Linked DNA regions of Mus musculus: region 2 is reported to be linked to region 1. The links are microRNA targets in miRTarBase. Many come from high-throughput screens and were not tested one by one. Region 1 holds a microRNA gene; the other region holds the end of a gene's coding sequence.

The links. The annotated mature microRNA mmu-miR-421-3p reads AUCAACAGACAUUAAUUGGGCGC and lies in region 1 at 6,278-6,300, opposite strand. An mRNA with a match to its seed (bases 2 to 7 or 8) in the 3' UTR can be bound and repressed. Matches are read on the target gene's strand: a 7mer-m8 pairs with bases 2 to 8, a 7mer-A1 pairs with bases 2 to 7 and ends in A, and an 8mer does both.
Region 2: miRTarBase lists Fam126b as a target of mmu-miR-421-3p. Seed matches in the 3' UTR shown: 7mer-A1 at 1,710-1,716, 7mer-m8 at 6,996-7,002, 7mer-A1 at 7,004-7,010 and 8mer at 7,026-7,033.

The regions. Positions count from the first base shown.
Region 1 is chrX:103,566,653-103,582,194 of GRCm38, forward strand. It overlaps Mir421 (microRNA 421), which reads right to left and starts at 6,344; the gene lies at 6,269-6,344. The region is part of intron 9 of Ftx (Ftx transcript, Xist regulator (non-protein coding)); the gene reads right to left. Mir374b (microRNA 374b) reads right to left here and starts at 6,502; the gene lies at 6,408-6,502. It overlaps Mir374c (microRNA 374c), which reads left to right and starts at 6,433; the gene lies at 6,433-6,481.
Region 2 is chr1:58,514,536-58,530,062 of GRCm38, reverse strand. It overlaps Fam126b (family with sequence similarity 126, member B), which reads left to right. Exons shown (of 13, transcript NM_001310598.1): 13 at 1-7,257. The coding sequence ends at 405. Gm15834 (a long non-coding RNA gene) reads right to left here. Exons shown (of 4, transcript XR_865442.3): 2 at 9,315-9,628. Among named protein-coding and RNA genes, the nearest start is that of Gm15834, 17 kb to the right of the region's middle.

The sequences.
Region 1 (15,542 bases):
ACTATCTGGAGACAAATCAAAATGTAAACACAACACATTTCAGGCTTTGAAACAAAGGGAAGGGGATTCTAAAAGGGAAGCTTATAGCAATAAACTACAACATCAAAAAAGAATGCTAAAGCAAACTGTATACCTCATGGAATTGGACAAAGGAACAAATTATGTCCAAATCTACTAGTTAATGGGAAATAATAAATGTAGAACATAAATACATTATTTCCCTTTGACCACCAAAATTGTTTTTTCACCTATGACTGAAATTTGCAATTCTCGGGGTACACACCCACACCCACACCACAGAGACACAGACAAACACACTCACACACCCAAAGTTTTTAAGAACAGGTGACATATATTCAAGGCTTCAACTGGCTATGAACTTGAGAACGACTCTGAACTGCTATTCTTTCTAGTGTTCTTCTCAGAGTGCTGGGGATACAGGTTTGTACAATGATGACACATCATTGAATGCTAGACAACCACTCATCCAGGGTATGTCTTCCAAATGAAGAAAAGCTCAGGACCACATAATACTCACTGCTGAATTCTACCATATAACAGAAAGGACTTCATCCAAGCACATTCTGTGAATATGCAAAATATTTTGTCCTTGATTAACATAAATCCTCAATAAAATACTTGCAAACTAAATTCAAGAACACAATGAAAAGACAACAGAGCATAGTAAACTGGTTTCATTTAAAAGATGGTTTCATAATACAAAAAAATGAAATATTTTACATACACAGAATCAAGGTCAGAAATCACATGATCATCTTAATAGATGCTGACAATGCTTTAAGAAGAATATTATCTGAGTATAAGTGCTATACTCAATGCAGAGACAACACAATGATGAATGGTGTCTACCTGAAACTTTTCTCAGCAATGAGGAATGACATAGGGCTGCCCCGCCCTCATATTATTTAGTCAATATAGTTTTGAATTCTTAGCTACAGAAATGAGGCACAAACCATTGCCACCTGCAGCTTCTCTGTAAGTAATATTAAACATTCATGCTTGCCCTCTTGCTCTCTCTCCTAGTGCTCATGGACGGCCTCTACTTCTTCCCCACCCCCCGTCCCCCGTCTCTCACTCTGCCTTTCTTTGTCTCTACAGCCTCAACTCCCTTCCCATGTTGTAAATAAACTGTCTCTCACTCTGCCTTTCTTTGTCTCTACAGCCTCAACTCCCTTCCCATGTTGTAAATAAACTCTATTCTATACTAAAAAAAATTCCATGCATAAGAGATTTATAAATATTAAACAAGTATAAATAAATGTAACCAAGATCTCAGAAATGAAAACTGTGAAGCAGATTAATACACTAGACACTGCCCAACACTAAACATAGAATAAGTCATATTAATTGATGTGATCTACAAATTAAGTGCAAATTTGAATGATATTCATCAGATAACTAGCGTAAAATATTGCAATTCGTATGCAAAGAGCCAAAGCAATCCTCAGACCAACGAATAACACCAACATCACACTTCAGACTACACTGCATAGACACCTAACATGGATGTCGCAGAAAACCTCCTTTTAAAAACTATTAGCATGATTGGTAGTGTTTTATGCACATAGATGTTCTACCTGCATGTCTCTGTGTCTCTATACCATGTATGCGCATATTCCATGCAGAAGGCAAAATAGGGTGCTGGGAATCCAACCAAAGGCTCCTGAGCCATCGCTCCAGCCACTTACCTGAATAAGTTTATTAAAATAGCTGACATAGGCATGTGCAATGGTGAATTCAGCCTCTACTCCTGGGTCAATACTGACAAACTATTGTGCTTATGCATTCTCACTGGGAAACAATCCCATGCCTTGGGGCCTTTACCACAGGGATTTTTGTTTGTTTGCGGGGGTGGTGGTGGGGGAGGGTAATAATTCTGAGACTTAGTAGGAACGCTCACTGGTCCTATCACTTTCAGATGGCCTTCCTTTGTACCTTGAATTCGGTGAATTGCCATATTAGGTACCACGGGCATCTATCTCATATATTTGAAAGCCATAGCCATCATTCAGCTCCCTTACCAAAGTGGGAGCCAATGGCAGAGAGCTCAGTTGTAAACACTGGACATGTCTCCCTGCTTTCAACAAAAGTTCCCATGGATAAAAAAATGGATAAAACACCTTAAAATAAAGCCACAAACTCATATAGGAAAATGGAGAATACTTTGAATTAATAGCATAGGCAATAATTCTTCAAAAGACTACAACAGCTTAAGAAATAATAGCAAAGTCTGATAAATGGGATCACATGAAAGTACAGTGCGCAGCAAAGGAAAGAATGGCAGATCTTCTGACAGAATTAATATTTGGAAGGTGGGAAGAATTAAACACCAAAAGAAAAGGAAACTCACCCATGTTGGGCAGCTGACAAATGCCTGTAACACCAGGTCCAGGCGAAATCGGATACCTCTAGTGTCTGGCTACTATAATCATATTGACTCATACACAGAGCTAAGGACAATTATACCTAAAATTACCTATGAACTTTGCTTGTAACTGTCAGAAGCAGAAATATTCCACGTTAAATAACTACAGAATGGTCTAATGCCCATCTGCATGGGTAAATCTCAATTACATTTAGGAAGTGAGAGCAGCCAGACTCCAAACTCTAAACATTACATATGATTCTACGGATTTCACTTTCTAGAAGTCAAAATATTAGCTATGTATATCAATCAAATTAGTCGTTCCCACGCAAAGGGGTAAAAAGTGACTGAATTTAGAAGACTTCCAACTGCTCGGCATGATGGCACATACACAACTCAAGAAAAGGCAAGGCAACACACCCTCTCCAGGAAACAACCCCCAGCCACAAAAACAGTCTGCATGGACTGAAGATATGCAACTACATATATTTTACAATCTATAGAACTACAATCAGATACCATCAAAATGTTATATTTCAATTGTTTAATGAAATATCCACATTTATTAACTACAGGCAGGAAGTTGTACAAGCATATTGAGAATACCTCAACAGCACCTTTATGATACCCCAAGTATTCAAATAAAGAAAATAATTGGCAGAAATTAATTCTAAAGATATATAAATAAACAAGATATATAAATATTAATGTACAATGCATGTTACATTTTATATAAAAATGGAAAAGTCCAAATTGTACAGTAATATGGCATGATCTAATAAAACCTGAAGTACATATTAGATGTAGATTTTATATTGTACTAATCAAAGGATATAACATAGAAATATACTCTTGAAAACTCGAATTTAAGATATATAAAAAGTATGATGGCTATTCTGTTCTGAAATTATGCTGCATCCATACTCAGATTTTTATAATTATTTTGTAAATTATAGAACTATGCATGTTCACAACTTTCAAAATGTTGATCATGTTACGTTCACTGAGGGGAAATAAATTCCTTTTTCAATAGAATAAAAAAGTCCAGTCCAACTGAATCAAGTTACTTTCTTAATGGTCTTCAATCAACAGGTCATATTCTTGTCAACTGGGTGTTGGTTCTCTTGCTCCTTCAGGTATTGGACTAATTCACGAGATGATAAAATTTCTAGTTCGATGTGCCTAGTGAGCTGAAAGTGGGATGAGCATTCAGAGTCCCCGGAAGAGCAATATCTATCATGTAAGTGCACAGGAGCTGCCCTGTGTTAAATGTCTTCCACGACAAAAATCATAGTCCTTCCCTGAAGTAGCTCTTGTCTGTTGGATGTTCCACCATGCATTTCAGGATGACAAGTATTAGGTAGATTAACCTTTGATGCTAAGACAGCACTAAGGATGTCTGGAGCCTGTCTGTCTACTGGATATAAACTGTACTTCTTTAATCAGTTAATTACCACTTCTTCTTCTATATCTTGTCCGTAAGTCTTTAAATACCTGTATCAGAATTCAATGAAAACCTTGTTCTGGTTTCTTTCCCAGTTAGGTAAATAAAAATCTCGAAAAAAGGAGTAACATGTAACAAGCGTTGAGAAGCGGTCTATGAATCCCTCACAAAAGAAAGACATCGCATTCACTCTATTTCCTATGGGAAACAGTTATCTCCCCAAACATCAGCATTTGTTATTTGGTCACAGCATTTCATAACTTCCCTCTCCATCTTCTTGGGGCACGACTCCTTTCGTTCTATCCAGAGAGCAACTTGGGTTCCAATCCGCACACTCACTGATTCATGATTCAGCTTTTCACAGATCCAGTACTGGGCAGGGAAAGAAGATTGCTGAAACACATTTGGGTTGGGTAAAGAGAGGCAGGAGTTAAGGAGTCCACACAAGAATGAGGAGGCAAGACCAAGGGTAATAAACACAATAAAGCTTGACTCAGGTGTTCTGGGAATTCAATGTAGAATAATTGAAAGTCAAGACTTTTCACACCTAAGTTCTACCCTAACCATCCTAAGAGACTTAACCAAGACTGCCAAGGGCCACGATTGTCTTATAAAGCCTAATTCCTACAATATTTTCTTACAGAGCTCCTGTTCTTATATAAAGCTTCTCTAGTTGCCAACATGACATCAGATGGCTGGTATCAGACTAATAAACAAGAATGTTCTGTATTGTAGGAGTAACCATGATAAAGTCTGCATCTACCTTCAAATCCACTGGCCACCCTCTTCGTTCTGACTTGGTATTTTCGTGCTATCTTCTGATATTTGGGCCTGAGGGATTTTTCATTGTTGATGTCTAACACAACAAAGATTTCTGTGTATCTTGTGTATAAGGACATTAATACTGTGAAATAGAATGGTTAATGTAAACAAAATCCTAAGACAGGGCTAGCATGTGACTGAGAACAGGCACCTGTGCTCTATGATAAGGCTAACCACTTGGTGTATGAGGTTCTGTGTGGCTGTGGTTACCTCGGACAGTATTTTCCATTTTTCTCCCTTGTCTAAGCCCCAGGGGCAAATATAAAGCAGGCCAGATTTCTAAAGGACCAGTCATGAAAACAATGATTATTAAATCAGCGTTGAAGTTCAGACACCAGGGTCCTTTCCTCAGGAGCTGGGTCAGTAAAAAGTCGTTTGAGGACGAACTGTGCAGTCCAGCCAGGCTCTGTCAGTTCCCTAGACTCTCTTGTGTGGTTTACCTTCTAAAAACTCAATTCCATCTCTCTATCATCCCAAACAGCGAATGGAAATTCTACATGAGTTGGATGTTTCGTGATACTAGAATGGTTTCTATCTGTGGTGGTGTAACATGCTAATCTTCATCCCTCTATAGTTTATCTTAAAAGATGAATTAGAGAACAGTGCAACTTTCTAATGAACATGTGCCCATGTCTATAATCCTAACAATTGTGAGGCAGCAGCAGGATTGCTACAAGATTGGGGTCTCCTTGATCTTTGTAGGTAGTTACTAGACAGCCAGGACTACCTAGCAAGAAACAAAGAAGGAAAACCACAAATCTCGTGCTTCTTAGAGTCCATGCCAAACCTCAAATCCTTTCACGACCACTCCAAGTTGTCTTCTTCATATGTCTGCCTGCTCCAGTGAAGAGATGGATCCTTTCATAGAAAGCTATTCTAGCAGGGTGTACATTCTGCCCTCTGTGGTGCTTTGAAGGAACACCGTGGCCCTACCTCATGTATTTGAACACTCATATCCCAGGTGGTGGCTACATTTGGGAATGTAATGGGACCTTTCAGAAGGAGAACCTTGCTTGAGGTGTGTCACTAGGGGCAAGACTGGGGTTTTCTACCCTGGTTCCACTTCCTGTTCTCACTTAGCTTACCACACTGAGGCCATGCCTGCTCTGTTACTATATCCTTCTGGAGCTATGAGCAGCAATAAAATTATAAATGGAGGTATGGGGAAAGCGGGTAAAGGAAAATGAATACCAACCATAACAGCACACCCCAGATTTTAAAGACGAAGCTCCTACTCAGTGATCACTGTAGTCCAACCTAGGGAGTAATCGGTAGCGATTATAGTAACAACAACAGAGATGCAACAATGACAAGCAGGCATTTCCAAAACACAGGCATAAATACAGTATTTCATAGAAAATATCACATTTATGGTACATGAGCTATTATCCCTTCCTTCCACACCCTCAGGATAGAAAAGAACCAGATATGGAATCCTTTTTATAAAACACAGTCGAGGCACAATTATCAATCAATTGGAATTGGTTTGAAAGGTAAAATATATCCACTATGATTATACTACACAGAACACAGGAATGAGCTGCAGAAATAAGGACGCTGCGGAGAGCTTGAACGTTGAAGGCCACTGGCAGGAACAAGCTGAGCCCATGGAGATCACAGAGCAGGCGCCCAATTAATGTCTGTTGATGATTCATTTTTTCATTCAACAAACATTTAATGAGGCCTACAATGTGCACCGGATTAGGCACTGTGAGTACAAAGTCACCATCCTTGCCCTTACGGATTAGTTTGATAGACGAGAGCCATAACCTCGGACAATGATAATACAACCTGCTAAGTGCTAGAACACTTAGCAGGTTGTATTATATCCACCCGAGTAGGATTTCTTCAGAGGAACACCACTCCAGGTTGCTGCGCGATCCATGAAGTTCTCCTGATCACCAAGGCCAGCTGTTGTTTCTTGCTCTCCAGGGATGACAGTCACAAGAACTAACATAGCTAGTTATCAGTTAGAATTCGGCTTCAGGTCAACTGTGACCATTCCCCAAACATCCTTTTCTGTGTTTATACAAAAACCTTTATTCAGCTATAACACAAGTTTTCAAAAGCTTTTAACTTAGAACAAAGAAGAAAGGCAATAGATTACTAATCAAGAGCATGAATGGAAGAATCATCGAGTTTCCTACATGGGCTAACTTCACATTAGTGAATCATTAAAAACGTCCATGATCCCTCCCCACAACACCATTGACCATTCAAAAGGTATAATAATAATTAACTTTCTTCTTTTAATTCTTGCATTGCCCGCTCCATCATTAACAGCAACAATAACTAAGATAGCATTGAGTGGACGCAATTAACAAACAGGCCAGCTAATGCCTATGCCCAAACCCTAGAGTCACTGTTTGCATGCACACTTCAGAGCTTCCTTTCCCAAATCTGAACCATTTACTTAAGTAAAATTGTCCTCATTATAAATGCATTATTTGAATAGTAAAGATCAATACGATAGGTCTGAGTAGAAAACATGTTCATAGATTTTGTTGTTTGTTTCAGTCAGGGACTTGTTATGAAACCCAGACTGGACTCAAAGTCAAGATGGTCTTCCTGTATAAGGACCCGAAATGCTGGGATTCTAGGCATGTGCCAACATGCCTTGCTTTATAATGCTTTGAGATCAGAAACCCTAGAGTGGATATTACACATATCTGATGCTTCAAAGTAAAGCAATGAACATTTCAAGTCTCTAAACACTTCAAAAGAAAAATAAAGTTCAGGAGAAAGCCTGCCAGTGACAAGAGACTATTCAGATGAGAATGATGGGGCACCGCTGCTATCTCCGTGTCTTACTGAGGATTGGCAGTTCCTAGATACGGCTCTTCTATGGAGAAGAAACTAAATGTATATCTAAGGAATGAGAGGATGGCAGCTATCCATGACAAAAAATTCCTTCCCTGTAAAACTCTCCTCCATATATCCTACCCCAAACCTCTTAGCGAGTAACTAGTCAGCCTGTAAGGTTTAATCTATATACCTGAATATCTCTCATCTTTGGGACTAATTCAATATCCTGACTACTGAGAGAACTGAATAATAATAATAATAAATGATTTGAACTGTGGACAAACATTTAGATCAACATGAAAAAGTGATCTGAGAGGGAAACAGACTCTTAAAAAACCCCTTGTAGCCCCGACAAAAGTTACTCATGAGTTAAAAGACATTTGTTGGCAGCATTATCAATAAATAATCTTAGCCTGGGGTTTAAGATTATAGGGTAATAAGCACCTTGAAATTGAAGACCCTTAAGGTGTATCTATATTCATAGTTAGAAGTTTAAAATGGACAGACAATCTGGTATAAATCGTCATGTCTCTGAGCCAAGTAGGAAGATGAACAGCAGCTCCAGTGTCTTGAGCCCAATTCTCATCCATACTCAACTAAACACAACCTTGCAGTATAACCCATTTTCTGGCAGTCCCTTAGACAAGGAGCAGAAAATACCTTTAAACGAATTCAAGGCCAATAAGGATGTCTGGATACAAATTTCTCCAACAATATGTTACTGAAAACTTAAGCCTTCAGAACCACTGATTAAAGTTTGCATAAAAGCTACATTACCTAACATAGTAAGAGACTATCAATCTTTCTTTCATTCCTTGTTTACCCTGTTGAGACAGGGTTGCTCGATGTAGCCCTGGCTGTTCAGGAACTGGCTTTGTAGACAAGGCTGGCCTTGGATCATTTCAAGGTAGACAAAGGGAATGTATCCTTGATGTGATTTTCCCATTTACAGATTATGTTTATAAAATACTGTTTGTAATTTTCATTGTCAGCTATTCCAAAAACAAAATGTAGAAGTGAATAATATTGCCTGTTTTTTTTGTGCTAGAGATTAAGCCCTTTGTAACACACATGTTGGGGACATGCTCTACCATGAGCAGGCAACAGGAACATCCTCCAAAATGCTCTATCCCACATACCCAGAGTTCCTGCGCTTGTTTTCTACATATATATTAGATATGCAAGGGTAGACTATAGTCTTCCTGGTGCACAGAATTTTTATGATTGTGCTTAGGTGTTAGATAATTGCCTTTAAAACCTCACTGGAATGCATCAGAAGGCTGTTGTGGTGATCATTAAATGGGAACATATCAAGTGGAGAAACAAAGTTTTACTAGAAAATGGGGACCATCAAAGCGGTTAAGGATTAAAGTTGATTTTCAAGATTAAGGTGTACAGGCCGGGGGTGGTGGTGCACGCCTTTAATCCCAGCACTCGGGAGGCAGAGGCAGGTGGATTTCTGAGTTCAAGGCCAGCCTGGTCTACAGAGTGAGTTCCAGGACAGCCAGGGCTATACAGAGAAACACTGTCTCGAAAAACAAAACAAAACAAAACAAAACAAAACAAAACAAAAAAAAACAAAAACCAAACAAACAAAAAAAAGATTAAGGTGTACAAGAGCAGGACTTGCCCAGCATGTGCAAGGTCCTGGGTTAAAGCCTAAGCACATTTAACCACAAAACACTCTAGGTAGAAGAAAGGGCTGCACGGAACTATGTATTCTCATCTCAAAGACGCTCAAATGGAAAATCTTCAGTATCAATTATCACAAAAAGACAATTATTGGTAAAATATAAGTTATAATCCAACATATATAGCAAATAACACTCGTAATAAGTCTTAAGCATTGTACAAAAAATTAAAGTGTCTTAGAAGAATTCTATAGTTAGGGTACATAATGGAAGTCACAAAAGGAGAGTAAATGAGGAAGCTTAAAAAACAAAAATCAATCCATGAATGAACAGCGTATAGCAAAAAGTTACCCAGACATCAAATCTACTCATGACAGTAAGGTGACACAGTCTAAGATATTGAAAATATAATCCTACAAAAATGCAATGAGACACAAATTATTTTTGATGGGTTTTCAATAAGACAATGAGTTGATTCTCATGACACATCATACAGAAGTAGGATAAAATGATTCAGGACACTACAGAGCAATAGAAACTCACAATGAAAGATAAACAGCATTAGTGAAACTCATAAAACCAGTACCACAGACTAAATCAATTGTCTTCTCACGGTCCATTCAAGTACAACTGTTTAATGGAATAACTGGAAACCAATGTGCCTCGTATATACAGGTGATTTTTTGCTTTTTGGTTTTGTTTATGAGACAGCATTTCCATATTTAGCCCTGGCTGTCCTAGAATTAGCTCTGTAGATCAAGCTGTCCTTGAACTCCTATATCCACCAGCCTCTGCCTATGGAGTGATGGGATTAAAGGCAGGCGCCACAGCTTCTGTTGCATATTTCTGAGTAGAGATATTTCTGAGATAAGCAGTCAGGTGTCCTTCCTTATCACACTCTAGACCCCAAAGGCATGATGCTCCCCTCCCAAGCAGGAAGTAGAGTCAAAAAATGATGCCCATACCCTTTATATATAAAGATATTGAATCAAACACCACACTCCCTAAAGCTAAGCTCAAAGTTCTAGGAAGCCAGATATTTGGAGTAATAAAGGTAGATTCCCCTTACCAAGATGCCTGGTGGTTACAAAACAGACCCTGACTGCCATGTCAGCTTAGCTAAAGAAATGAACTACCTTACCCATTGGCTTCTAATAAAATTCACCTCATTATCCTGAGAAGAAAAAAACCCAAAGCACTAAAAACAAACACCCCAAGTGAACAAACAACTGAAGAATGAAAACAAGCAAATACAAATCAGACTTAAGCATGTAATCCACACTCTCTTGAAGTTTGTTCCCTGGGAATCTGCATCTTATAACCTGCTCAGTGTTTCCAGAACTCTCTATGGCACAAATCTGTCATTAAATAAAGCTCACTGGAGCTGTGTGCGACTGTCTAATCCTCATAGTTTATTATTCCTAGAAACTTAACTCTTGCATATCCTTAAGAGATTGCAAGTGAATACAAGCAAAACTAACACTGTTTACCAAGTCATGAAAAAAATATTTTGGATTCAAAGGCTAGCAACACACATGCCCACTGAGAAAACAGAGCACATGAACAGTATACTGCTATCCTTTGTTTTTTGTAGGAAACCTAAATTTCAAAGACTTCATTTGTTTCAGCAAATATCAGGTCAAAGTCACGTGAAACAAGAAACAGTGGTATGATTCTAAGTTATCCTACTTCAGCTTTCCATTAAGACATACTGTTCAGTGACACAGAGCATATATACTTACCATGAACAAGAAAAGCAGTTCCACAATTACCATCAAAGGGTTTGCTAATAACACCCATTAAAGCAGTCAAATTATTCCAATGCTATTATTGAGAAAGTACTAAGAAAGCTCAGCAGTACAATGAAATTCTTTTTTTTTTTTTTTAGTACAATGAAATTCTATTTAACCATATGTTCAAAGCTTGATAGTGCGATTCAATATCATTAGATAACCTTACACAATAAACTAATGAGCAAAATAGGACATAGCGCCGGGCAGTGGTGGGGCATGCCTTTAATTGCCGTACTCAGGAGGCAGAGGCAGGTGGATTTCTGAGTTCAAGGCCAGCCTGGTCTACAGAGTGAGTTCCAGGACAGCCAGGGCTACACAAAGAAATCCTGTCGCGAAAAACCAAAATACATACATACATACATACATACATACATACATACATACATACATACTAAAAATAAACCAAAACCAAAAACCAAAATAATTAAATTAAATTTTAAAAGGACATAGCTTATTACCGGAAATATATTACCTGATGACTAAAGCAAAGGATGTTGGTTTTAGTGCTATTACTAACCTGTCCTTGATCATTTGTAAATGAAAAGAGGACCTTGAGATTTATCAGTGGAGGAACAGTATTTCCAAAAGGTCAAGGACATTGCATATCAAAGAGAATTTAATCTGACTTTCCATAGATAACCAACCCTTACAAGATTGGTAGTGCTACTCTGATTCCCAAAGTTTTAAGGACTGTTTTGCATTTTGTGATAAAATGATAAGATTTTTGCATTTGTTGCCTACTTGACCTTCCTTACATTTTACACAGTATTGGGCAACTCTGATCACTCATTACTTGTAATGGAAAAATATTCTGTATCAAAAAACAGGGAGGGCACTTACACATTACTGAGGCAATATTTCATGTGCTAGAATTTGAATTCAAAAATTAAGAAGGCAGTCACCCACCTGCCTCAGTGACTTGAATGCAGAGGGAATGGGAAAGTAGCATTATCCTTAATTAATCTGAGGGTGTGGGATGTGAGTGTGTGTGTGTGCGCAGATGCACACACGCCACAATAAGGATGTGAGCCAAAGGACAACTTGAAGCAATCAGTTTAACAGTGCTACTTCTCAATCTCAAATCCACACGAATCACTCTTCTATATGTAGTGACACTGGGATTTGTGTAAGTGCAATGAAAGCATTCAAGACAATAAAAAATAGGCATATCTAAGTACCTCACCTGCAAGGTCCAAACTGAATATTGTGTGCAGTCATTATATGTAACAGCCATAAAAACATTTACTTTTCTTGGTAGACAAAGAGCACTACTGCATTCAGGCTCATCCCCCCTCCTGATGACAAGAGAGGTCTTTCTTTCTTCTCTTCATTACTCTTTCAACATTCTAGAGGTTAATGCACAGGAGCTCCTTGCTGGCCACAAACTCGGAATTATCACACTATCATGTTCACATATCCAGTCAAAGGTCAAACGCAGAATGCATACTAAAACACCAATTTAAAAGGCTGAAGACAGGCAGTCTCAAAAAGAAACACAGATAATAGCATCTACGTGGACACCTCTGGGTCTTACTCTAATGGGAACGACAGCAAACCAGAGGCACCTTCTGTAGTTTCTTAGCAAGAAAATTGTAGTATCACCAGGACACCCAAGTTACTAATGAGTTTCATTACATAGTATTTTACTCCCAAGGAACAAATAAGGTACTAGTTTTTCTAGCAATCAAATTTTCTCTGAAGAAAACCGGCTTCCCTGACCAGGGGAATATAGATGTGATATTAAGGAAACCTTTCTTACATTAACTTTTGAAAATTATATCCTTAAATATAAAGAGAAAGAAAATACGTGCTTAGTCATGTTGCTAGACTGTGAGTGATGGCTGACAAGTTTAATCTCAACACTTCACAAGTGGGCCTGTGCTAAATGAGTTCTAGAATAGTGTAGGACTAAGGGATAAAAAGTGTGCCCTGAGAGTTGAATCTCCAAAAGAGAAGGGGATGATAGAAAGATGAGGGTCCATGAGCGTGCTGAACAGGCTCCAAGCTAAAGAAACAGAAAAACTGCCCATTTCTGCTTAGCGACAGTCATTGTTATCAATTACTCCAGTGGCTGGAGAGCTGACCTATCACATTTTCAAACACACCTGATAAGCTGGGCAACTTGTGTTACAAAACCTTTTTCCTATTCATGTTAAGAGAATGTTTGAAGTTAGGTGTGGTGGCACACACCTCAACACTCACGAGGCAGACTTAGGAGGCACAGCAAGGCAGAAGCTTGTGAATTTGAGGAGAGCCAAAGCTACACACAGACAACCTGGCTTAAAAAAATCATTTCTTTCTCCCACGCTACCCCATTGTTGGTTGATAGCCCCTTGATCGCATAGCATTAGGCCACAGAAAACCATATTTTGCAACATTGTTCAGGGGTCCTAAATGAGTGGGTTCTCTTACAGCCCTTAAATTCCGCCTTGAAATACACTGGACATACAATAAATTCCAAAATAGGAGAAATCAGAATTAGAGTGAGCTGGGGGGCAGATAAAGGATTATGCCTTGTCAACAAACTGGAGCAGAACTGGTGTTTTTACCTACTTACAATACATGCTTCCTGGAATGTTAGCTCTTGAAAGCACTATGCAATGTTAAAAAAAAAATCAACCAGTCAGGCTGATCTAAAAGGAAAGATGTTCTTTCCTTCTTGTCCTAAAGCAACACATATACTTGTATCACCCGTATCCATAACATTTCCTATTACACTCCTACGATTTCCATTTGCTCCTTAATAGATGACAAGCCAAGCTATTAAAATGCTGGAGGGGGTCATGCAGTTTCCTTTAGTTTGAGTCAGCCCACCAGCCTACAGAAGGAAAGGAGACTGATTAAAACGTTCTAATGCTTACACATAAAACTCAGCAGGGCCTACTCAGTGAACCTTTAATGTAAGGATCTGCACTCCTTATCTCAAACAACTTACCCTTGTCTTAAGATTCTGGGGGTAGCAGCAGGCATAAAGGATACAGATTTTCTAAAGATGCGGCACACCTTCCAAAGAGACAGCAAATCTAATGCCAAGCAGACATTTGCACCTTGTAATTAAAGGAATCTCTTAGATTCTGCTCAAGTTGTCCTGTGAGAGCACATTAAAAAGATCAAATGGCAGAGTAAAAATGATCACAAGTCTCATATTTGGAATGGCTAAGGGGCCAGGGTTAATCCAAGTGACTTTTGGGGCAGAGTAACTTCCATAAGTTTCCATAGAGCAGTGGTTCTCAGCCTTCCCAATGCTAAGACCCTTTAAGACGGTTCTTCATGTTGTGGTGACCCCCAACCATAAAACTATTCTCATTGGTACTTCATGCGTGTAATTTTGCTATGGTTATACATTTATTGTAGACATTTGTGTCTGCAATGGTCGTAGACAATTGCTAAGGGGTCAAGACTCACAGGCTGAGACCCACCACCATAGGGAAAGACAGAACCCAAAATAGTTAAAGGGAGGTTGAAAACCTAGAGCTAGAGAGCACTAAAGAGACCAGGCAATGCAGGGCCTGACTGACAGCACTTGCCCCACAAGAACCTTTTTTGTCTTCTTAGTTCTGTAATGGACCAAAGGCAATCCCGGAAAAGAAAAAGTTGGGAGGTGATCTAGCCAAAAAGCAAGGAGCAAGGCTTTCTTGTTCATGAAAGCTGTAACACTAGGGGTAGGGGCCCTGGAGTCAGAAACTAAGGGATGGTTATATTATTTTACAATACTGGGCTGGTAAGATTGCTCATGGGATAAAGATGCATCCTGCCAAGTTTGACCCAGTTTGGTGGAGAGAACTATCAACTTATCCTCTGACCCCAATGTACATGTCCCCTACACACAAACAATTCTAATTGTTCCAATGTATAAGAAAACAAACTGTTCTCTGGAAATGCTTGGCTCCTTCCAAAGGAGAGCTCTCTATTTCGGAATCAATATACTGCTTTGAAAAGAGTACCATTTTTTTGTTTGTTTGTTTTGTTTTGTTTTTGTTTTTTGAGACAGGGTTTCTCTGTATAGCCCTGGCTGTCCTGGAACTCACTTTGTAGACCAGGGTGGCCTCGAAGGAGTACCATTTTTAAGTGTGGTAGACTGTAAGTTATCAGGAAAGACTGATCATGGGGGATAAAAATACCAAAAAAATATCAAGACTATCAATGAAGTTACAAAGACAATACTAGAAAATATAGCAAAGCACTAGCATGGCAGGCTGCTGTATGATTAGATTCAGAGAAGGTACTCTTTGAGCAAAGTTTGAACTTCACTCGTTGGATGACTTGTCTATAACGTATAATGGAAATAGTAGCAGAAATGTTTCAGCGGTAGTATTCAAGGCACATTACGGAAGTCTGTTATCTACCAGCAGAAAGAATGGAATTTACCTCTGGGTGCAGGCATGCCATTGTCTCCTCCCTTACAAATTAATCCAGTTGGGCTGAGTCATGTGCTTGGCCAAGGGACAATCACTCAGGAAGGTGGGCTTACCTTGAGCCACACTAAAGTGATAGGAGTAATAATTAGTCCTTTAACCAGATAGTACAATTATCTTTCTAAGAGTCTGTACTCCCTAGGGTTGTTGCCCCAAGTCCTCATGAGGTTTTGTTGAGTCTGCCCGACTTTATGAGGCATATTCAGGTTTTTACTAGACAGGTACTGCACAAAATCTTAACAGCAC
Region 2 (15,527 bases), not on the chromosome of region 1:
GAGAGCCCTCGAGATTCAGTAGTTGGAAAGCAGTTTGTACAACAACAAGCAGATCTCAGCATAGATTCAGTTGAGCTGACACCGATGAAGAAACACTTGAGCCTGCCTGCAGGCCAGGTGGTGCCAAAAACCAATAGTCTGAGTCTAATCCGGACAGCCAGTGCTTCCTCAAGTAAATCTTTTGACTATGTAAATGGCGGTCAAGCAAGTACCAGCATTGGGGTTGGCACTGAGGGAGTTACTAATCTAGCAGCTACAAATGCTAATCGATATTCAACTATCAGTCTACAAGAAGACCGGCTAGGTCACGCTGGTGAAGGTAAAGAGCTCCTCAGCCCAGGAGCCCCCTTAACCAAGCAGTCTCGATCCCCAAGTTTCAATATGCAGCTAATATCCCAGGTGTAGTTCTGATGCCCCTTGTTCTGCTAACCTTCTACACTGAACATTTCATTGTGCAAGACACGTCATCCCGCATTGTGAAAAGATGTCACTGTCATCAGATTTGACTTAGCTTAGGTATCTCATACTGTATTTTGTATGGAAACAGCAATAAGGTTTTCCTTTCCTTTCTTTTAACCTCTCTACCTATTCCCTTAAATGTGTTTGTGAAGCAGTGTAAAACGTTTGCCTTTTCCATGCCTTCCTTTCTCCTTGGGTGATGTGCAATCCATCGTAGGCTGATCGGTCCCATTTCAACACTGTGAGACTGAGGAGATGTCGAGGAAATGGTGTATAAGATCCCTATGAAATGATTCTTTGGCTTTTGTTTAAAAACAAAACGGGTTTGTTCACATAATCTATGAACTATGAAGATAACTGGATCATATGTTTTCTCTCTAACCAGGAGTGCCTCAGAGATTCTGCTATGACTTTGGGCTTCTCTGAGCCTGTGCAATTTTATATTCTTGGGAAGCATGGGGGAAAGTGGTAGACTACTGCAATTTTTTTATTAAAATGAGGCTAACTGCCCCCCTTACTTTATCCCAAGGACACAAATGTTTAATTATTGAGGCATTTAAATCAATTTGTGACCACCTCCATTGGAGGGTAGGGCTCTAAGTTGATTGTGTGATTGATAATGCACTTTCTCAATGGCTCTCTAGTCATTAACAACAGGTCTTCCCTCCTCCCACAAGGACTTAAGGACATTTCTGCCCTTAAAGTTTGAACTAACAAATCAGAGACTCAAAGGGGCGTGTTCTATTTCCCAGGAATGATTGATATTATGGTGCTGGGGCTTTGTTGGGGGAAGGGTGTTGTTTGTTTAGTTTGTGTGAGATTGTAAATGAGGTGAAGTTATAATTGTTTTCTTTCTTCCTTTCCTTTGTGAGTTGGTGATGACTGAAGTAGACACTGTACGTCTTCAGGTAAAGAGAGGGATTTCTCAGTCCACTCTCTGAGATATCAGACTAGAGAAACCCTTTCAGCTGCTTCCTAGATGTACCTAGATTCAGTCAGATATGGGATACAGAAACCTAAAGTCCTGAGATCATATACTCCAAGGAAACACATCAGGGACAGGTGATTGGTTGAAAACACTGATGCTTCTATGTGACACATTTGTATAGAACATTTCTACCAGAGGGTACTGACTTGATTGCTCTACAAGGACCACACTGCCTTTGTGTTTATTGCAGTTTGTGTATCTTCTGATTATCTGCAAAGTTTCTCGTTTTTATAAAACGTTGAAATCATGCCAGTAAACTAGATGTTGAATGTAAATGAGTAGCATTTGGTAACTGCTAAGAGGCTACAAAAATGCATTATTAGTTTAAAGGATTTTTGTTGTGATTTGGTTGGATAAGACTTTCTTATAATCTCTTCTGGGTCTCAGGCTTTGTTTGAAAAAGAAGGGAATATATTAGGATTTTAAAAATCAGTATTGTGTGACTTCAATTGCTATGAATTACCCATCTCAAGAACATCAGTTACACACACCCTTGTACATGTAGACATTTTATGTATTGTGAATGAAAATTACACTGCCTATATAGGAAGCAAGTGTCCTCTTAATTGACAAAGTTGTTTTATCTCTATTTACCGTAAAATTTGATAAATTAAATAGCCAGGAAAACGCCTCTCTTTTTTTTTTCATACATAAACCACCATTTTTGGAGGAGTTGTCTATCTGTCCATCTGTCTGTCTGCATTGTGTTAGAATAATCCTTAATTAGATTTGATAGTTTATAACATTTTTCAGCTCCCAGCAAATAGGGAACTAGAACCTCAGCTATTATCCACATCATTGCCAAACTTTGGAGTAAAACTAAAAGCTGAAATGTGATCTATTGATTGTTTATAATATGCGTATGATATGTGTATCCATTTATCACAGACACATTTTAGCCCTATTTCTACTAATTTAACTAAGAGATATCAAGTAAACTTAAAAGAAAAAAGAATTGTAAAATAGTAAAATAAAATGTTTTTGTAACCTACTGAACAGAGAGGCTTTGTGGTGCATAAGGAAGGTATCAGTCTTAGATGGCAAAGCACGCCTACTTCATGCTGGAGCTCACAGGCGCACATGTAACAGACTGGCATTTAAACCAAGCATTTTAAATAAAGCACAAGAGAATACCAAATAACTTGAAAGTATAGCATAAACTGTTGTAAATATGAGAAAAAATCTTTTGATTAGAAACATCATAACTGAAGAGTTGGTTTAAGAATCAGGAATGGTGGCATACACCTTGAATCCCAGCACTCCAGAGGCAGAAGCAGGTGAATCTCTGAGTTCAAGGCTGGCCTGGTCTACAGATGGAGTTCTAGGACAGCCAGGGCTACACAGAGAAGGCCTGTCTCAGAAAAGAAAAAAAAAAAAAAAAAAAGGTTTTTTTCATCTTTTTGTTGGCATGTGTAGACTTTGTATATACATCCCAAGTAATATTTCACAATCCTGAAACATTTGCTTCATATTCTTTGGGCTATAATTTGGTCTCAATGAACAAGTTCTTCATTTACACTTTATAGCAAGGGTCTTAGAATACATTTTCTGTGTAAGATAACAGTTAAAATGAAATGAATTAAAATTAGACAAACTACCAAGTTTTCTAATGATCATTTCAACCACTTTATGTTACCATCATTGAATTTAAAATGGTTTTTGTTCAGTTATACAGCAGCTGTTAAAAATGTCATAGAAAGTTAGAAATGTCCATAATTTAACCTTTAATAACTTCCCTTTAATATTTCTCAGCTTTCATGAAGCTTCATCGCACTAGTAGAAAAAAAGCATTTAGGGGAAAATATTTGTCTTATATTGATGCCATCTGTACTAGGTTAGATTAAGGACTACAGTATCTGAAGGTTTTAGGAGTTTTTCTATATGACTTTCAGTTAGTTTTACTGGTAAGAAAGCTAAAATATAAAGTAAAAAGTTAACTTACAAGCTAGGGAGGGAAGAGTTGTCATTTAAAATCTTGGTCCTTTGCCAATGCCCCTTTTTTCGCAGCCCACTGTGCTGTGCCTGTTTGTTGCAGATCAGGTTTCTGTGCTAGAAGAGACCCTAGAGATAATTTGGCTCTTCTCTCTGCCATACACACACATTGCATCCTCAGGACACTGAGGCTCAAAGGAGGATGTGAAATAAGGCCCATGACTAAGAAGCAGGGCCATAATCAAACCTTGTCTCTAGTCACGTGCATATTGATGCCTCATTGCCTCTGGTTATCCATACTTTAGTAAATGTGATATGAAACACTTCCATTTCTGCTATTTCTTTATGTTTCTGGTCTAGTAGCTGGTGAACACATTAAGAAAAGTATTAATTCCAGAAGGAAAAAAAAAGTAAAATAATTAATACAGATGGGGATGTGTTCAAAATGTAGGTGTCTGTATAGCACATTATTCTTTTCTAATTTATGCCTTGTGAATTTTCTACCACATAACAGTTATATGCTGCCATGTTATTTGTATTTTGGGGGATTTGTTTAGATGCAAAATAAACCCAATGAAATTTCCTTGATCAGTGTTTCTAACTATTTGAAAGTGATCTTTAATCAGCCAGTTTTCAGTCATCAAAGGTACACTGTAGAAGATTGCAGAGTAAAGATAAACTCAATTCCATTCATTTTTCATCTAGAGAGAAATTGTTCCTTACTCGGCTTAGAGTAGATAAGAGCAATATTCCTCTACGTTACTGAAAAAGAAGAATAGTGAGTGTGAAACTTTGAATCCATGCACAGTGGTCTCTGGGTCATTTATCACATATAGACCAGATAAAAACAACTCAAGTGTGGTAGTCTTAGCTACATAAGCTCAGTATCTCCAGCTGGTAGTCTCGATTCCATTTAGTAGCTTTTACATTCCGTTGCATTTGTCTGCACTGCTTTTGTGAATACCTTAATGCAGTGGTGCGTTTTTCCTACCTCACTTAGGAGGCTTCTTTGGGTCCATTGTTTAGTACTTAAGTTGTTGACAATCAGTGTCTCATTTAATCCACTGTATGTTTATTTATAAATAAAAATACTAGTTTCTGTCTTTATGGGTAGGGTAACATACTGTATAAACACTGGCAAGTGGGACCACTCCATTTCTGAACTTGAATTACATTATAAAGTAAGGTTTTTCTTTTTAATTTAATGAAAAAGTTTAGTATTCCAATGACATAGTTTTTCAATTTAAAGAGATTAATATGTCATGCTAGTGGTCAGAAATTCTACAACATTAGAACGTAGAGCAACTTTTCTGCACTGTGGTTATATCAAGCATTAAAACAGGAGGCTTTTCTCTCTCAAGCAAAATGACCACTGCCGTTGCTTCACCACCAAGTTGTGAGATACTTACTATAATACTTCTAATTTCCTTAAAGTGGTTTCCAAAAATAAGTGACTGAAAACTAGCTACTGGCAGCTTAACCTCTTAAAAATAGAATATTTACCAGATTATATAAACATGGAATATAGTGTAAAAATAAAATAATGAGTCATCAGGTTAGTACAATTTTCCATGCAAAGGAGATGAGCCAAATTCTAGTATTGTTTATAGTGTGTGAATCTAATGGATGCATCACACTGGTATGAAACTACTACATAGGAGGCACAGCCCAGCCTCTTGTCCTTGTAGATGCATCTCGTTTAATCCTGACAACATAATGACAACATTTCTCTTTTTTCCTCCAGTATTTTTGTAATGTTAGCCATTTGTCCTATGAAAAATAAAATCCAAGACCAAATAATTCAGGACACAGTCTCACAGAAATGTCGGGTCGTGTGAGGTAACTGGCGGAATAGCATAGGAGAGTTTCTGTGTTTTGCTTCTGAATTTTGAGAAGATGGGTTCTTAATGTTTACAAATTAAGGCATAGTCGTATGTCTGATAGTAATTATACTACTACATTTAATATGGTTTTACCAAAAAAAAAAAAAAAAGGTAGAATTAGGTGTATTTTAAGGTATAAGTCAACTTTTTTTTAAAACTTGTGTATCTGGAAGTAGAAGGTCTTTTCATTGACAAAGAAAAATGAACTTAATCAGATAATCTGCCCCATCTGCAAGTTTGCTATGCAGTTGCTGTATTTTGGTGTAAACAGCTCAGTGTCACTCATATCAGAAAACATCTTACGTCTTCATCAATTTACAAAATTTACCAAAGAAAATGTTTCTGCTGACAAATCATTTTTAAGGCATCTATTAAGGAATGTACCCCCCTTTAATGTAGTGACTTCTTTCTAACCCTGAAAGAAACAAATATTAATACATTATGTGAACTAGAAAACATATACAGTAAATAGATAATATCCTATTTTTCCCTACATCAATAAGATGTCAGTACTCAACTGAGAGTACCAATTAAAGAATAAGTCTTAATTTTATTCCTTATGACATATTTTTATTAAAGTTAAGGATTTTGCATATCAGTATTGGAATAAATGGGGGAAACTCCTGAAGTTGGTATATTGTATATTATGGGTTGTTTAGGTAAAATTATAGGAAAAATTATTGAAAGGTACCCTTCAATGGACAGTGTCATCTATTTCTAGTATAATACTAGCTATACTGATATGGTTAGGTTAGTTTACATTTATGTCTGTGTTCACTCTTGACTGCTTTTTGTCTTTGCATTAAAACATGGTTGGGTTAAAAGAAGATAAAATAACTGCTTCTGAAATATGTAGGCCAAAAAGATCTACAGTGTTTAAGCTGTCTAATGATTTCTTAAATAACGATTTATAGTTGTTTTTTTAACTGCTATTTTAAACACGTTCTTTAATTTTTTAATACCACATTATAGTTAATAAATATTTAAGTGGTGTGGTAGTACATGCCTTTAATCCCAGCACTCAGAGGCAGAGGGAGGCAGATCTCTGAGTTCAAGGCCAGGCTGGTCTATAGAGTGAGTTCCAGGACTGCCAAGGCTACACAGTGAGACCCTGTCTCAAAACAACAAACAAAAAATGTATTGTTCTTGGGAAGAGAAGATTGGCCTTCAAATAATGACTGATAATGGTTTGTATTACTTTTAATTTTATTATCTGAATACAGTGCAAAGATAATATTCCATTTGATGTTAAAAATATTAGTATGAGGTTTATCATGTTTTTTTACACTGAATCTTTTTGGTTCTAAAAACTAGGCTGGCTAACATTCAGTTTAAAACTGATTAGATGAAACTGTTTTAGCAGTGTACAGATTTTACTACCTTGGCTTTATGTACTGTGATTTCTGTAACAGGCAAACAGAACATCCCATTTTCATTATTTGTTTCTGTAAAAGGACAGATATATTTGATCAGCCTATTGTTATTGTTAACCTGTATCAATTTATAGCTTGGTATAAACTTCCCAAGTATTGAGAGGATTCTGCTGGTGAACATTATGGGTAGGCATATAAGAAGTATGATCTTTATTAAGAGATGTCTTTCAACTTAGGACTAGTGAAAAATCTTTTTTTGTTTGTTTCAGAGCTGAAGAAAAAAAAAACCAAAATGCACATTTAAGATCTTATGTACTGGTGCATGTGAGCCATTATCTTGTCTTATTGAATGGATCGATGCTGTTGATTGTTGAAATGTGAAATGTGTCACTGTTGAACTTGTAAATATCTGCCAGAGATGAAAAATATTTTAATTTATTGTAAATAAAGATGTATAAAATTTAGTATCCGTCTGCAATGCAGAAATAAAACATCTCAGATGTTAAATATTGTGTCTCCTGAGGGATGTGTCATTCCCCCCTTGATGTATCTAGCTACATTAAGAATGTAAAATTTCTTTTGTACAGTATAAAAATACAGCTTTATTTGGCTTTTAACTGGATTTCCCTGAGTTGATTGTATCTTACCTTAGTTTTATACTCTACCATAGTCCTTTCATTGTATTTTCAAATGTGATTTTACTTATGTGTCTGTTTTTATTTCATTTTGAAGCAGAATCTCACTGAGTAACCCTGGCTGGCCTAGAACTTGCCATGTAGACAAGGCTAGCATATAACTCCTAGAGATCCAGCTGTGTCTGCCTCCCACCATCACACCTTCCTAGGTATATCTGGACGTTTACATTACATTAAACTTATATGACACCAGGAAATAACACAAAGACCAAAAACTCTGCTGTGATGGTACACAGCTGTAATCCCAGCACTCGGAGGCTAAGGCAGGAGGATTGCTGTAGTCATCCTGGGCTAACAGAATGAGAAAATGTGTTTCAAAAGAGGACTAGGCCCTTAAGAAGTATTATCTGGCAAAGATGTTTGTGTCTAAGCCTGATGACCCTAACCCCTGGGACCTGCATGATGTAAGGAGAACAACTCCACAAGGTTTCCTGTGACCTCCACACATGCAATGAATAAGTGAATTTTATAATTATAAAAGTGTAAGTGAAATTGATTCATAAAATATATAGAACAGATCTACATTTTGGTATGCTAATTGTCGGGACACACATTTAACACTAAAGCAGCCAAATGCTTGTTTACAGAGGAGCCAGCTTTATTAATGAGAAGGCTCAGAATTTTCTTTTGAAAATTCTCCTCTCTCCTGTACCCCAGCACTGCTGATTTCTTTTTAATGCATCTGTGAGTGGCAGGGTTCATGTGTGTGCAGAGGCCAGAAGAAAACCTGGGATTCCATCCTAGAGAATGACAGCCTCTTTGAGACAAGTGTCAATGGCCTGATGCTCAGCAGTTAAAACTAGGTTGGCTGGCCAGAAGTCCCAGGAATCCTCCAGTCTCTGCCTCCACAATACCAGAACAACAAGTGTACAGGAAGATCATGAGTTGAGTTTAAGGCCAGCCTGGGCTACTAAGAATAAAGCCATAGTTGGCCATTTTTTTATGTGTGCTCTGGGGTCTTTATGCTTATACTGCAAACGTAAGACTCCTCAGAAGCTGTAACTGGCAATAAAATGCCGAGGGGGGTTGGGGACTTGTGAACTCTTCCCTTGCAACCACTAATTGCCTGTAGATAGATGTGGGGGGGGGGGGAGAGCCTGCTGAGTCCCTCATCCCTTCCTTATATGTTGACTAGTCTAGTCTTGATGTATAGGTGGTCACAGCTCCGAGGCCAAGAGTACAATGGCCAGGCCATGCCAAGAAGGAAGCATTTCACAAACACTTCACCTTTAAAAAAAATAATAGTGGATAACTATTATCCAATTCTCAACAGTGGCAAGGCCATCCAGACAAAGAGTTGTCAAAGAAACATCTTAGATCAAACGTACATAACAGATACCCAGAATATTCTGTTCAACAGCATGGAATACATATTCCCAGTAATCCATGAGACTTTCTCTAAAATCAACCATAGTAAAATGTATGTAACCTATTTGACCTTACTGGACTAAAACTAGAAATGAGCATCTAGAAAAACTACAGAAAATATATATATTAATTAGTAATGGATGTTAAACAAATATGGAGGGAAATAATAATTTACTCAAGTCCTCTTATTTTCTGACCCTTGGAAGGGAAAATCTAGCTTCATGCCAATCTGCTGACCTTTGAAATTTTGTTTTTTGTTTGTTTGTTTGTTTGTTTGTTTTTATCTCTGAGGCCCCAAAACAACATAGGCAATGGTTTCTGCTTTGATAGAAGAACTAGAGGGCAAGACACTGTTCCTAAAAATACCATATACTTTGGTTGCAAAGCATAGAGGATGTCACAGTCATTGGAAGGTGCTATGATAATCATTTGTGGCTGATGATTCAAATCATTTTTCTTAGCAGTTCAGTTCTAAGTATCTGTAATAAATACTGCCTACTGCAAAGAAAAACTGCTTTGATCAAAGCACACGAGCACTCACTAATCTCTGAGCTTAAAAACATTTAGAAGGCAATTTGACAGATTATGCACATTTAGCAGAATAAAAAGACCTTACCTCACATAGCCCTGCAAACCTCTCGAGCCACAAGCTTTTGACCAGGTTCACTGTCAGGATGTGAGTTTTCTTCCATGGAACTGGCACAAATACCATCAGAAAGTTGTTGGTTACCTCTGTATCAGTCATGCCACTGTTGCACCAGTAGCCACAGCTTGTGTGCCAGCCAGGCCAGGAGAGTAGCATGCTGAAGCCAATAGCATCTGTTGGTGACAGCTCACCCCAGCAACCTGTGTAGCACCTTCCAGGCCTGTAAAAGCTAGGCAGCAGAGGGGAAGCTTCCAACTCAGTTTCAGATGTATTTCTCTTATGTCCTGCAATGAAAATACATGCCTATGGCCCCTGCAATACCTATACCCAAGAGGGTGGACAAAACAATGGTAGTTATGGGTTCAATTTTGAAACATTTATGAAGCCCAGGAGTGAATAATTTTGGACATCTCCTGAATGATACATGTACTGGCTGGTTTTGTGTCAACTCGACACAAGCTGGAGTTATCACAGAGAAAGGAGCTTCAGGTGAGGGAAATGCCTCCATGAGATCCAGCTGTAAGGCATTTTCTCAATTAGCAATCCAGGGAGGAGGGTCCCTTGTGGGTGGTGCCATCTCTGGGCTGGTAGTCTTGGGTTCTATAAGAAAGCAAGCTGAGCAAGCCAGGGGAAGCAAGCCTGTAAGTAACATCCCTCCATGGCATCTGCATCAGCTCCTGCTTCCTGATCTGCTTGAGTTCCAGTCCTGACTTCCTTTGGTGATGAACAGCAGTGTGGAAGTGTAAACTAAATAAACCCTTTCCTCCCCAACTTGCTTCTTGGTTATGATGTTTGTGCAGGAATAGAAACCCTGACTAAGACAATACATTATCCTTGGGATGATTTGTACCAGGACACAGAAATCAGAGGAGGCATTTAAGACTCGAGGGTGAATACATGGAGTTAGACCAGTAGAACATACCCACCACATGTTCTCAGAAGGAACCAAGTTCCCTGAACCTGTCCAAGATACTTTGGTGTCACATAACTGGGAGTATCTCAGAGGCACAGAGTTACCCTGTCCCCAGAGTGATTCATCTGGAACCCTCTTGCTGCCATCTGCAATACTTAGGTTCATGACATTCTGTTACAGAAGAAGTAAGGGCTATTCCATCATTGAGAGGGATGGGATAGGCTTCAAATTGGCAGTTAAGGAGACTAGGCCTAAATCTCTGTTTCCAAGAAATGGACAAGTCCAGGCAAGCTCAGGCAAGTCAGTTACTGAAAACAACAACAACAAAAACTACAGGTTTCAGGTAGCTAGTCAGAAGCTGCCCTGCCACCTGGCCTAAGGCAAGGGCCAGCCGCAGTTTCCAGACTTCCTCAGCAAGTTTCCAGACTTCTCCAGCAACAGTTTCCAGCCCCATGACTCCATAGTTCTGGAATTTCCTTTGAGATGGACTCAACAGATTAAGATAGAGGTCACCTATTCCATAATTTCCCTAATGTGCTTTAAATTGAGCCTGAAAGCTCACTTTGGGATCTCTCTATCTTGGTAATGGGAGACCCCAGCATGCTGGACTTCTGCAGAATAAAGTACTGTATTTACATACTGTTTGAGTCCAGAGTATCATTCTTTGGTGAACCATTGACCCTTAGATAATAATATGGGGGTGGGGTGGAGAAAAGAGGCATTCAAGCATAGTCAAGAGTCCTCAGATCTGTGGGAGACTGATTACGCACTTGGCAGGTGGCTTCAAGAAGATGTAATAGGACAGGGTCTATGTCTCTGTAGGAGGTTTGGACATGGGCTTGCCCATCCATGCCTTGTGGTGGTTTCAGGGGATTGGATTGTTTGCACGGCAGAGGGGGTGCCAGTATGTTATTATGGCCTAGAGCTATAGAGTTATAGGTGCAAATTGTGTAGGTATTTGCTTATCTAATTTGATTGTAAAGAGTCTGTCATAGGCCCTCCTGCCCAATCTATCTTTATCATAAATTCAGAGCCCCAGGTTTCAGTGTTTTCCTAATTCCCATCCATTGTCAGGAGCCATTTTTGCCTGCTTCTGTGAACACCTGCCTGTCAGGCAGAGTCAAGGTAGGTCAGAGTCTGCTGGCAGATTTCCTGGCCGGCTTACATTTGGAATAAAAAGAGGGGATACACTTGAAGTTCAAGGCAAGGGGCTCAATGTTCTGTTAATGTTGGAGAAAGGAACAGGGAGATCCTAGATTCGGGAAAGACGAGCAGCTGCAAGAGGAAACTGCTAGGTATCATAGTCGAATTCTTTGCTGCTTGCTGCCACGGAAGAATTGAAGTTCTTTCCAAGGACAGGTTAGTTACAGAGAAGATACAACAGCTGCTAACTGCTTTTACTTCACTATCTGTGCAAATGCAAAACTTACAGGCTCAACAAGCTCAAGGGGAGATCTTGGGACCATCAGATGGATTACTAAGCTGAGAGCCAGTAAAACCCCAAGTGTTGGAGCTGGACCGGACCCTCCTCCAGAGATGGAGGCAGAGCCTCCAGTTGTAGCAGTTAATGAGAAAGCCATCTGGGAGATAGCCTTCACAGAGGCTTTTATTTCCCTTACAAGTAAGTGATCTTGAAAGAGGCTGCTAAGTAAGAGAAGAGAGAATGTCCAGGGATTTCATTTTACATTTCCAGTTATAGAACAGGTCAGTCCTCAAGGCAATAGTCAGAGTTTATCAACCTCTTCTGTTTAAACTGTTAAGGAATTAGAGTCTGCTTATGCACATTATGGGCCAACAGCCCCATGTACTCTGGCTATGCTTGAGCCATTGTTCACAGAGGCCCTCCCTCCTTGGGACTGGAAACAATTGGTAAGGGCCTAGTTGTCAGGAGATTTTCTTTATTATGGAAGTCAGAATTTGCTGAGCAGTGTCAAAGTACTGCTGAGATCAATCGAACATAAGAGATACATATTATGTTTGAGATGTTAGCAGGAAAGGGAGAGTACCACGAGACTGCTCAACAATTAAATTTTGACCCACCTGTTTATGCACAAGTTAATGATTAGGTTAAACTAAGAAAGCCTGGTATAAACTTATCTTCTACAGAGAGGCAGACGGAGGATTTTTCTGGAATTGGGCAGGGTCCAGATTGAGTTGTTCCAGAATTTTGTGGCCAGGTTGCTGCAGACAGGAAGCAAATTTATGGTGGATACTGAGGCAGTATTTCATAAGATGGATAAAGTCTAATTATCTTAATCAAACATTTAAATATTTTAAAATATATAATTTATTTTAAAAAGAATTTGTTTTAACATTTATGTAAAGTTTTATACCTTATATTTATAAAAGTTCAGACTTATGTTATAAACCATTTATATCTTAAACTAATAATAAAAATATTTTTAAAATATTATAAGTTAGATATATAGTAATATATAGTTAGATATATAGTAATTAGTTAGATATATAGTAATATATTTTTTAATCCACAAAGACAGGGAATTGTGGAACAATTCCATGGAGCTCTAAAAAAAAATCAGTTACAAAAAAATAAAATAAAATGTTGCTGCTAAGCATCTATGGCACGGCACAACTAGGTATACTTATGCCCAGGTGAAATGGAAGGACCCACTTACTGACATATGGCATGGTTCTGATCAGATATTAATATGGGGAAGAGGGCATGTTTCTCTTTTCCACAGGATGCTGAAAGTGACAGGTAGATTCCAGAGCATTTGGTTCACTATGTGGAGAAAGCAATTGACCAGACACATGATGCTGTTGCTGTTGCTGATGGGCCACTTCCTGATGCCAACTTGAGCAGAGTCCCCAAGCAAACTCAGATGACTGGTAAAAAGGACTGCATGCAGGACTTTGGTGGACAAACACTGGATCATCACAGACTTATGTCTGGAAACTTGCTGTGGCTTTGGGAGAGATTAAAGCAACTAGCACAACTACTAAACAGAGATGAACACTAGGTTGGGTTCAGACTGACAACAGTGGGAAATGTACTTGCCTGCATTTCCCTGCCATATGCATTGTTGACAGAGAAAATTAACATCACTGTGTATGGGTTTAGATTCAATGTAAGTTGCTATGACTGTAACTTAACTAATTGTACATCTGACATTGCTATGGTACTTCATCAACCTTCATTTGTTATGCTTTCAATGTTTCAGAACCTTGGTATGGAGATAGAGTCTTGCAAGTGTTGGATTGAATTCAATTACATCAAGAAATCTGAATCTAAATGATGCTAAACCCCTGAAATTTGATGCTACAAAAGTTGCCTCTGAATGGTTAGAGAAATTAAGAAAAAGCATGCCTTTTTGTAGCTGTCCAGGAGCCATGGACAAACTGGGTTTACCTGAAAGGGTAGCTGAAAATGAAAGAGACTTGGGGGGGGCAGGGGGCAGGAGCGGCGAGAGAAGAATGAAGCCAAGACAAGGTTCTGATCAAGGCTCCATATTAATATTCAGCACTGCATTTGTATAGGAGCACTCACAGACTCCATCCTTTGTTTCAGGTGGATTATGTTGCAAAGCAAGGTCAGTGAGAAGTCTGTTTTTCTAAGTTTCTGGAGGAAGTTGCATGTGCAACCAAGGCAGATGACTCCACCTAGGTCATTAACGTCTAATTTGGCAAGGTCTATTCAGTCTGCTTAAGGCAGAAAAAAAAACGTGCTCAAGGCTGGGAAGGGCACAATCCCCCCTTTTTTGCTTTTTAAAGATGAGGAGTACCAATTGCTGGCTGGGGGCACAAGATTTACTTGTTTTCCATAATCCTGTCTAGGGTAAAGAGTGGCCAGGTGATTGTACCTGTCTTAGGTCAGTGTCTATATTGCTCCTTCTTACCCATCATGGAGGATAAACATAGCATTGATGTATGTCTCTGTCCTAGGTCGATAGGAGCTCAAGAACACTCTTACCCAACTCTGACTACTGGTTTCCTATATCATACTCTTTCCTATTCAGACCAAAGCCACATAGAACATATGAATATGCACTTAATGCATTTCTTCATACTGATGAATAACTGCCACGGTGAATAGCTGAGCTTGCTGAAAGTGATCCCGTATGAAGGCAACCAATCTGTTTGAGATACAAGGTCCAAAAGTTAAAAGCAATAAGGTTATAATTAGTGGTCTAAGCAGTGTACAAATTAAAGTTGTAAGCCATGGGGAAGTGGAGAATCAGGATTCAAACCATCCCTGATTCTGTCCTTTTTTTCTTTTCCTTTTGTCTACTCCTTCTCTAACTTTAGCCATAGAATCCTTTACTATTCCTGATGATCGATGTAAAGTAATATTCTTCAATTAAGGGATGCACATAGTCCTCCATGTTGAAAGAATAAAAGATCAAGTCCTCTCCTGTTTTGAAGGACCACCTCAGACAAGGAGGTTAGAGATTCTTGCAAATGGGAAATAGAGTTTTCTATCCTTTCTATATCTGTATCTATTGCCATACTAAGGAGCTCACAATTTTTTCCTTGCAAATTCAGGGTAGAAGCACCAGTAGCTGCTCCTCTCACACTCAGAGAGTTTCATGGTATCCAAATTTAAAAATTTTCAAATAAAAAGCATGATTTAAATATTTTTGTGGCATACAGGGATATAATTCCCCCTTTTGTGGTTGTTATGAAGATAATGGTTTTAAGTTCTATGGGCCTGTTCCACAATACGTTGTCCTTTAGGATAATAGGAAATAAGAGTAATATTTATTTGTCATAATTAATTAGGTACGAGTCCTTAAGGATTAACACCATTATGTGGTACATGAAGAAACTGAGGACACTGAGAACAAGTCTTTACAATCTGGCATGCCTATTTTCTAGAAATACCAACTTGTTGTCTCAAACTATTACTATTTTGATGATGTAAAGAGTGAGATTGTTTGACTAATTGTTCCAATAAGGCCTATAATCTTCCTGGTAGACAAATCTGCTATGGCATTGTGCAGGGGTCCAGGCAATCCAGTATGAGCTCTTAAATGTCCTATAAAGTAAGGGAACAGTCCCTGTTTCTTAAATTAAGCTGTATTTGTATAAATAACTATAAAATTTGAGAATTAGCAGTATCAAAAAAGGAACAATTTCAAGAAATTGTAAACCATGAGCTATATATTGGTTATTAGTATACAAATTAAAACTTGATTTTCCAACATTTCAAAAACAGTGGCTACAGCGTAATTCAATTATTTGTGAAGTAGGGGGAAAACTCAAGAGAAGAAACATGTGATCAAATTATATATGCTTCTCTCCCATTAGAT